Ovis aries: one gene and its partner. The protein of the gene in region 2 interacts with the protein of the main gene of each other region in a pairwise test. Links are inferred from orthologs where the notes say so. Each region holds a gene or a part of one and is shown on either strand. Other genes may lie near its edges.

Region 1 (4,226 bases), on a different chromosome or scaffold from region 2:
TTTGCCAACAAAAGTCTGTCTAGTCAAGGCTATGGTTTTCCCAGTGTTCGTGTATGGATGTGAGAGTGTGAAGAAAGCTGAGCGCCGAAGTATTGGTGCTTTTGAACTGTGGTGTTGGAGAAGACTTGAGAATCCCTTGGACTGCAAGGAGATCCAACCAGTCCATTCTAAAGGAGATCAGCCCTGGGATTTCTTTGGAAGGAATGATGCTGAAGCTGAAACTCCAATACTTTGGCCACCTCATGCGAAGAGTTGACTCATTGGAAAAGACTCTGATGCTGAGAGGGATTGGGGGCAGGAGGAGAAGGGGACGACAGAGGATGAGATGGCTGGATGGCATCACGGACTCGATGGATGTGAGTCTGAGTGAACTCTGGGAGTTGGTGATCGGCAGGGAGGCCTGGCGTGCTGCGATTCATGGGGTCGCAGTCGGTCACGACTGAGCGACTGAACTGAACTGAACTGAATCATAGTGCCATAATCACCATAATCATTACAGAAGTTTACCGAGTTGTGATTGTTTAAAATTGGTTATATATGTTTATATACATAAGTAAAGTGTGTGAAGTTGATGACATATGTATTGATGCATAAATGGCAGCTACTTTTCAGAAGGACTTTTTACAAAGCAGACTTCTTTCAAAGGAAATAGAGCCAATCCAGCCAAGTGGCACAGTCCTCACCCCTGGAAGCTCGCAGGTAGATCCATCGCTGACCCGCTGTGCGGCGGGCCGGCTGTGTTCAGCGGGCGGGCTGTGTTCAGCGGGCGCGGGCCTAAGGCGGACGCCGGAGCTCGGACGGGGCGGCGCGGCGGTTCCCTGCCAAGCGGCCCACGCCGCCCCGCCCGCTCGGCTGGGATGAGTGACGGCGACAACAGGTGCGCCGAGGCGTCTGTGGCTTCTCCGGAGCCCCCGAGTTTGGCGCGTCAGGCCCCGGGGGTCAGGCTTTAACTCTGCAAACTGGCCTCCTCTCCCCGCACCAGCCTTACGAAGTCGCCCGTCAACCGGCTTCTTGCACCTTAGTAAAGCAGCCTCTAAACGCACCGCCACCTCTCGAAAACCCACCAGTCCTAGAAGCCAACTTTTCTCCAAAGGGGAGGAGAGGAAAAGGCGTGTGGTGCATGGAGCTCTGCCTAGCCGTTCGCTGTCTCTTCCCCAGCCGTCCGAAAGCAGACGAGAGTGGCTTGAGAATAGAGCCCTCGATCCGCACACCTCACGCCCGCCCCGACCTGCTGCACGCTCTGCCCTTGAGACGGCCCAGCTCGGCGACCACGGGCCACCGCCGAAACCTGCCCGCCCGCGCCCCTCCCGGGCTTGCGGCGCCCGCCCGCACTGCCACCCGCCGCCCGAGGCTACGTCGTCTGCCCCTCCCTATCCCCGCCGGTGGCAGGTTCAGGCCCCGGGTTCGAGTCTGCGCCCTTGCAGCTGCCACCGCCGCCGTCGCCGCCAGGGGGAGAAAGTCTCCGTCGGGAAGCGTGGTGTTGCTTCCCGGGTGTGAAGGTGCTTTCGAACTGTAGGTTTCTGCGCCTTTCCCCCTGGCTTTTGAAGAGCAGAGAGGAAGATGGAGACCGAGTCCGGGGCGGTGAGTACGGCGGTCAGGGCCCAGAGTCCTGGGCCTCGGGCTAGCGGGGAGAAGGAGCAACGTGGACTCGGTCTGTGAGGGGCTGGAAGGACGAGTCTAGAGCTCGCTATTTTGTCAGCAAGAACCGTGGACAGGGCGCCCCATCGACCGCCATGAATAGCGGCCTGCCTGCAGGCCCGGTCGGGTTGTGTAGTGGGGTCAGGCAGGTGCGATGCCGGGCCTGGACTGGTGTAGACCTGCTGGGAGGTTCCGGGAAGTGTGGGTAACCGGGTCCTGTGCACCAGGCTGGGTTCAGGCTAGAGAACCAGCTTTCCCGCCGAAAGTAGGTTCGGCTGCGTCTTTGACGCTCACTCCAGCCACACTCAGCCTAGCCACCCTCATGAGGAGTTGACCAGGTGGCCATCCCCTCCACTTCCCTACCGGTCAGCGGAAACCAGAAGTCCTGAGAGACCTGGTGGGGGGGCGAGTGTGGGTTATATGGGGCACCTGGGCACAGGTTGGACCTGGACACTCGCGCCCAAGCCAGTCTGGGCCGGGTGGGGGAGGGGTGGGAGACCGAGTAGGCCCGAAGGGCTGTGGCAACGTGCCGTCGCGCCCCACCCCGTGCCCGCCGGCAGCCAATCAGCGAGTGCCACGCGATGCGCGCGGGGCCCTGCTACGCACGAGGCCGGCGTCTGGGTCTGTGCCGTTGAGGATTCCCGCCACTGCTTCTGGCGGGTTTGCGGGACAAAATTTCTCGCTGGCTAGCCTTCTTTTCCCTCCCGCACTTTGGTGGGGAGGGGGTGGATCCTCGAATCGGTGGTCCAGTTCACGATGACTTGAGAGAAACTGAGGAAGTTGTTGCTGCGGCCATTTCCTCCAGCACTTCAGCTTGCTGGCCTCGGAGGGGAAGGAGCGCCGAGTCCTTGACTGCGACGGTTAGCCCGTCTTTTTCCTCTTCTCTTCATTGGCAGAGTAGATGATAAATTTCGAGGTTAATTCTCCAGGGGAGGAGGCAGTGGGGGCACATTACTTTGGAGGAAATTTTAAATAAACTTTTTAGTACTAGAAGTTTTACTAAGCTAAGGACCCTTACTGCTTGCCCCAAAACAGCACCTGGCTAGGTGCTTTTCATACATTTGCAAAATTTTGCTGGCAGAATTTGAGGCATTCTGAATTAACTCAATAAATCGCTAACTGTCTCTAAGGAACTTAAAGATTGCCTCTACCTGAGCTTTGTTACTTCCAAGATTAAAATATTTTCTAGGGTTTTATTCATGTTGTAGTCTTCAGCCCACAACCTAAGGGTTGGTGAATCGTGAGCAAGAGGAAATTATTTATTCTTCATTCAACAAATGTTTATTGAACACCTGCTATATATGGTCTTAGATACTGCGGTGAACAAAACAAGCAAAGTCCTTTTTTTGAACATTACAATATAGTGGAAAGAGATGACAAACGTAGTATAAATTACATAGTGTGTTGGAAAGTGATTAGTGGTAAAGGGAAAAAATAGTTGGAACCCACAATAGAATAGGAACGTTAAAAATTGAACAATGATGTGAATAGCATGTACAAAGTTCGTGTTTTTCCTTCCTCCGTGTTGAGGATTTCTTAAGATTGGAAATAAAGCACTTTGTTCTCTTCCATTCATGTCATTTTTCTCTCATAAAAATAAAACCAGTGGAGTTTTATTTAAATAAATTTGAAAGCAAAAGAGTTCATCCATTGAATTATTTTGTTTTAAAGAAGAGAATTTCATGAATTTTTTTTAAATTTTGCAGATAAGTAATTTTTGCATTCTCTAAACAAATAGGCAGATAGAGTAGATTGTTTCTGCCAGAGCTGTTCAGTTATCTTTAGCAATACAAATCCACAATTGAAAAGTAAAACAAAACATCCCAGAATCATCCAGTCTGGCACTATGTCTTACAGGTGACTGAAGTTATAAATTAACTTTCAAATGCCCTGAGAGGATGCTATTAAGATTGGTTTCCCAGTTTTAACTGGCAGCTACAACAGAGCAATTATTAAATATGATGACTTTGTGGTTTAAAAGATATTTTTATGAACTCCCTTACTAGGGAGCGTTTTTCCTTCTTAAGACTAGATGGACAATAGACCCCAAAAGCCTATAGCCTGGTAGTCACCACTGGCCTAGATATTTCTCTGTACATCTTGCAGAGATTAATTTTTAGGGATTATGGCTTATTGGCTAGTAAAGTGAAAGGAGAGCAGTGTGAAAAAGAACAACTCCATTATCTAAGTGGGAAATTCATTTTCATGAGTTTGTTTTTCAGAGAATTTAAGTCGTGAACTTCAAGCTTTTTGAAGCACTCTTCGAGTGTCTCAGAAGTCTCTTTAGTGTTCTTATAAGGAAAATAGGAAGTTGTTATATTTGTTTCTCTTTAAAATTCTATTCCCAAGTCTTGTTTTTTTTCCAGTGTACCTTAAGAGTCTATCTACTATTTTGTTATTGTGCAAAGGCATATATGTTAGTTGTTATTGTTTTTATAGTTGCTAAGTCATGTCCAACGGTTTGCAACCTCATGGACTGTGGACCACCAAGCTCTCCTGTCCGTGGTATTTTTCAGGCAAGAATACTGGCATGGGTTGCCATTTTCTTCTCCATTACTTGTTAATACGTATTTATTAACATCTGAATT
Region 2 (4,279 bases):
ATGTGTCTGTCCTCACGGAGGTAGAGGGGGCTTGGGGGAAGGGAGCACTCAGATATGGCTCCAGAGCCCGTTTCCACCCCTTCTTGCTGAGTGTCAGTGGACTTCGGGGCCCCAGGTGTCAGTGGCATCCTTGGGCACTGCACTACCCAAATATGGCTAGAGAGAAATTCTTCGGAGGCCGCAAGTGCAGAGCGGGAAGTGGTTGCATCCTGGGGAAGGGGGTTCTTGGGGAAGACCTGTCTTTGCAAAGGGTTAACAGAAGAGGAGGGTTCCAGGCCTGTCCCCAGCCTTTGGCAGGGCATGAAGGGCTCCCTCACCTAATCCTTAATGAGCCCAGTTACACTTTGGTATTTTCCCCCAGGTCTGCCAATATCTACCCTTCGCATCCCCGAGCCAGGTCCCCTGCGCTGCCTCTGAGAAGGGAGCCTGGCTGGCTGGCCAAAGTCGGGCCAGCCCTGCCCTTCTGGGCTTCAGTTCCCTGTCTTCAAGGAGAGCGGATTGGGCTGGGCTAATCTCTTAGGTCCCTTGCAGGCGGTGCTGTAGTGGCCACGGGGAGCAGCTGCCTCTAAGGTTGGGGTGGAGGGGGGACGCCAAGCTGTATTTGTCTGTTTCAGCAGCCAGAGGAAGGTGGGGTGGGGACAGAGAAAGAACTGCCCTGTGGCGAGTGCCCATTGCCTTCCGGGCACTGGACAGACATCACCTCTGTTAACCCTCAGAGCAACCCTGTGAGGCTCTACAGATGAGGAAACTGAGGCTCACAATCGAAACGACAGGCCTCATCCTATGATGCAGGGGGAAGGGGTACACAGCCTGGCAGCCCCCATCCCATCACTCCCAGGGTCACAGGCGGGAGTATGGGGCCGTGTCTGGAAGAAGAGAGGCCTCATCTGTTCTTGTCCTGTGGAGTGTGAGCCCTCCTGGGCCTGGCTGCCCCCCACAGGCCCCCAAGGAGCCACCACCAAGCACTCTGCTCTCCCAAGGCTGACACCTTGCAGGGTGTTCACTGTGCAGCCCCCACAGAGCGGCACCCCCAGGGGATGGCCCAGAGAGCTGGGGTCACCCATGGTCATACCCAAGACTCCCCAAAGGAGTCAGAGACTCCCACCTAGAGGAGTGGGATGGCCCGACTGGGGGCAGCCATTCCCACCCCCAGCTCACACGTCCCCACTTTGCCAGGCAGGAGGCCCTGAGGCTGGGCTGCTGTGGGTGGGGGTGGGAGGGATCCACTGGACAAACCAAGGCAGTCATGTCTGTTGTCCCATCCGAAGTGATGAGAGATGAAGCCTGTCACCTTTCCCTGGGGACGGCTGGGTGCTGGGGTTTTCAGGAGTGAGCTGGCTAAGTGGTGCTGAAAGTCAACACTCTGGCTCCAAGGAAGCAAGAGAGAGGGCATGAGAGGTGACAAGAGCAATGGTCCAGAGGTGAGGTCACCATCCCCCCAGGCTATCCTCACCCCCTATTGGCTGGGAGTCCCAGAGGGCCTTCTTCCTCTGAACACCCTAGAGATAAGGGCTGCCTCTCCTGGACACTGATTCTCCCCTGAAAGATCCTCTGGCCACCCTCCGGAAGGAAGTCTTTCTTGTTATCTCAGCTGCATCCCTCCTCGAAGGGCCCACAGTGGTAACACAGAACAGCTGCCTCTAAGGTGGGGGCGGGGGGATTAGCCTCAGTGTCCCCTCTTCTGACCTCTGCTTCCAGGCAAGGCCTAGGAACCTGATTTGTACAGGAGAGCCCCCCAACCCGCACCAAAGCCCCTGCCCAGGACCCTGGCACAGTTCAGCCTCATCCACTGCTTGCTCTCCCGGCCCAACTCCCCAAAAGCCTGAACACTAGCTCCCCCAAACAAGGCTCCCCATCGTGATGGCCCCAGGGTCAGCACTTCCAAGATGGGGCTGAGAGAATGAGTCAGAGAGAGAGAGAGAGAGAGCCAGAGGGAGGAGGGCTGAGAGGTCCGGGGCTGTTTGAGATTTGTCGGCGCGGGTGGGGGTGGGTGGGGAGGGGCGGGTGAGGCGGAATCCTGCCTCCCACAAAGGCCAGGAGGGCCAGCCTCTACCTCTGACCCTGACAGAAGAGGAGGCATTCTGCTTGAAGGAGGAGGGGCAGGCGAGGCGGCCTCCAATGACTGTGAATAGTGGAGATGGGGGTGACGGAGTGGGGGGGATGAGTGTACTCTCTGCACCCACCCCCAAAAGACAATAGGTCTCCCATCCCCCACCCCTTCCTTTCTGTTCTATCTCAGGGGCTGATGGGGTGGGAGTTGATTTTTGGAGTCTCTAAAGAACTTAGACAAAAAAGGTAGGTTCTGTGGTCGATCCCCCTGTCTGCGGAGAATTGTCCCTTCTCGGGATGAGTCTCGCTGTCCCTGGCCTATGGTCGCCAGCCTCCCTTCCCCTACTTCCTGGGAGCTAAAAGTTCTGGCCATCACCCTTGTCCCCCCTCTCGGCCTCGTGATTCTTGTCGCCCACCTTCCCAAAACACAAGGCAGGGTAGGGTCCTCGCTGCTGCCACCAGCCCTACGGAGCCACCTACACCCCCACCCCGCGCGGGCCCCCTTGGGTGCTCAGTCCCAGCGGCGCGTCGGTCCGGGATGGGGAGCCGGGAGTGCGGTCCCACGGCCCGCGCCCGCGCCTACCTGAAGGGCGCTTCCGACCCGAGCGGGGCCGCATCCAGTCGTCCGCCGCCGCCAGGGGCGGTCCGGATTCTCGGCGGCTCCCGGCTCCTGGCTCCCGGAGGTGCGCGGCGGATGAGTCCCGGGCCCGCGCGTCTCGGGGCAGCCGCCGCGTCCCCGGAGCCCGCCCCTGGGCGGCCCACGGGGAGCAGGTGCCAGGAGCCGCGCCGCCCGGAGCGGAGCGCAGAAGAGCGGGTCGGGAAAGTGGCCTGGCCCTGGGGCTCCCCGGGCAGCACACAGGGGAGACGCAGGGGCTCTTCTGGCGGCAGGGCTGGACCCATCGGTGAGTAGCCTCCCTACCCTTGGCTGGCCAGTCCTGAGTGCCCCTCACCTTCCAAAGGGTCCCAGAGTTGGGGGGAGGGAACCCCAAACTGGCCACCCCGCACTGGCCTGCTGTGACCTTCCCTGCCTGTGCATGCTAAGTCGCTTCTTTGCCACCCTATGGACTGTAACCCACCAGGCTCCTCTGTTCATGGAATTTTCCAAGCAAGAATACTGGAGTGGGTTGCCATGCCCTCCAGGGGGCTCTTCCTGACCCAGGGATCAAACCGGTGTCTCCTGCTTTGGCAAGCGTGTTCTTTACCACTAGCACCACCTGGGAACCCTTCCCTACCCTTTTGTAAACCAGCCCCTCTTTGTGGGGGAAGCTCAGGGAGAATAAGGAAGCTGACATTCATGGAGTATCTCCTGAGTGCCAAGAGGGATGGCACTCAATCCTCATAACAACTTGCCCCAGACTGGTTTGATCCTCATTTTACAGATCAGGAGATGAAAGATTGGGGATGTTAAGTAACTGGCTCAAAGTCACACATGAAGTCAGGAGCAAATGGGTTGTCCACAGGTCAGGGGATTAAATCAGTGGGCCTGTTGGGGAAACATCATTGGTGTATGTGGCTGGGGATCATTTCTGATTCTTCCCAGGGAATCAGTGCACTGGCTCTGGCCCACATTGGGGTATGAGACAGGAGAATGAAGCCAAGCAGAGGAGGGCAGGAGGCAGGGGCTGATGGCATAACCTCCTAACAGAACCTGCCATCATTCCATTACTGGAGAGTCTCAAAGAAAGGCGATAGGAATGGCTCTTGTATTAAAGAATATGGACCAGTGCCCTTCTTCCCACCTCATGCTCCGGCCAGCCTTCGTGTGAAACAGGCCTTCCAGGGAGGAGGTCTTGCCATGGGGAGCCCTGGTGATGTCTCACTTGCTAGCTCCTGGCACTGCTTCCTGGTTCTCACGTCTACCAACTCACTCCTGTCTTGAGGTCTCTGCTGTTCCCTCTGCCTGGAACTCTCCCCTGATCTTCACAAGGCCTTTTCCTTGCCACTCAGGCCTCAACTCCACTATCACCTCCCCAGGACCCCCTTTCCCCAGCCAGGTTATTATTATCTTTATCCTAGGCCCTGGTTATTTTCCCTTTAAGCATATCTCCCAAGATGCAATGCTTTTGCCTAGACACTTACCTGTCTCCCCCGTGGGGAAAGGGCTTTTATTTTCCAGGTATCGGAAGCACCAGTGCTAAGCTCTATAAATGCTCTATAAAGGGTTGTGGAATGAATGCATGAATTCATTCCCACTCCAAGAGTCAAGCCACATTAAAGTGTCCACTTTGAA

The links.
Region 1: the proteins of ZNF385C (region 2) and BOLL interact in a two-hybrid assay, tested with the Homo sapiens proteins (2 studies listed by BioGRID). The two-hybrid records come from large-scale screens. The link is inferred for Ovis aries from reciprocal best matches to the Homo sapiens genes ZNF385C and BOLL.

What each region holds. Positions count from the first base shown.
Region 1 is NC_056055.1:200,041,803-200,046,028, reverse strand, and holds the start of BOLL (protein boule-like), read left to right. Parts: upstream 1-1,426; 5' UTR 1,427-1,560; coding exon 1,561-1,581; intron 1,582-4,226. UniProt on the Homo sapiens protein: Probable RNA-binding protein, which may be required during spermatogenesis. May act by binding to the 3'-UTR of mRNAs and regulating their translation.
Region 2 is NC_056064.1:41,946,880-41,951,158, forward strand, and holds the start of ZNF385C (zinc finger protein 385C), read right to left. Parts: upstream 2,801-4,279; 5' UTR 2,667-2,800; coding exon 2,633-2,666; intron 1-2,632.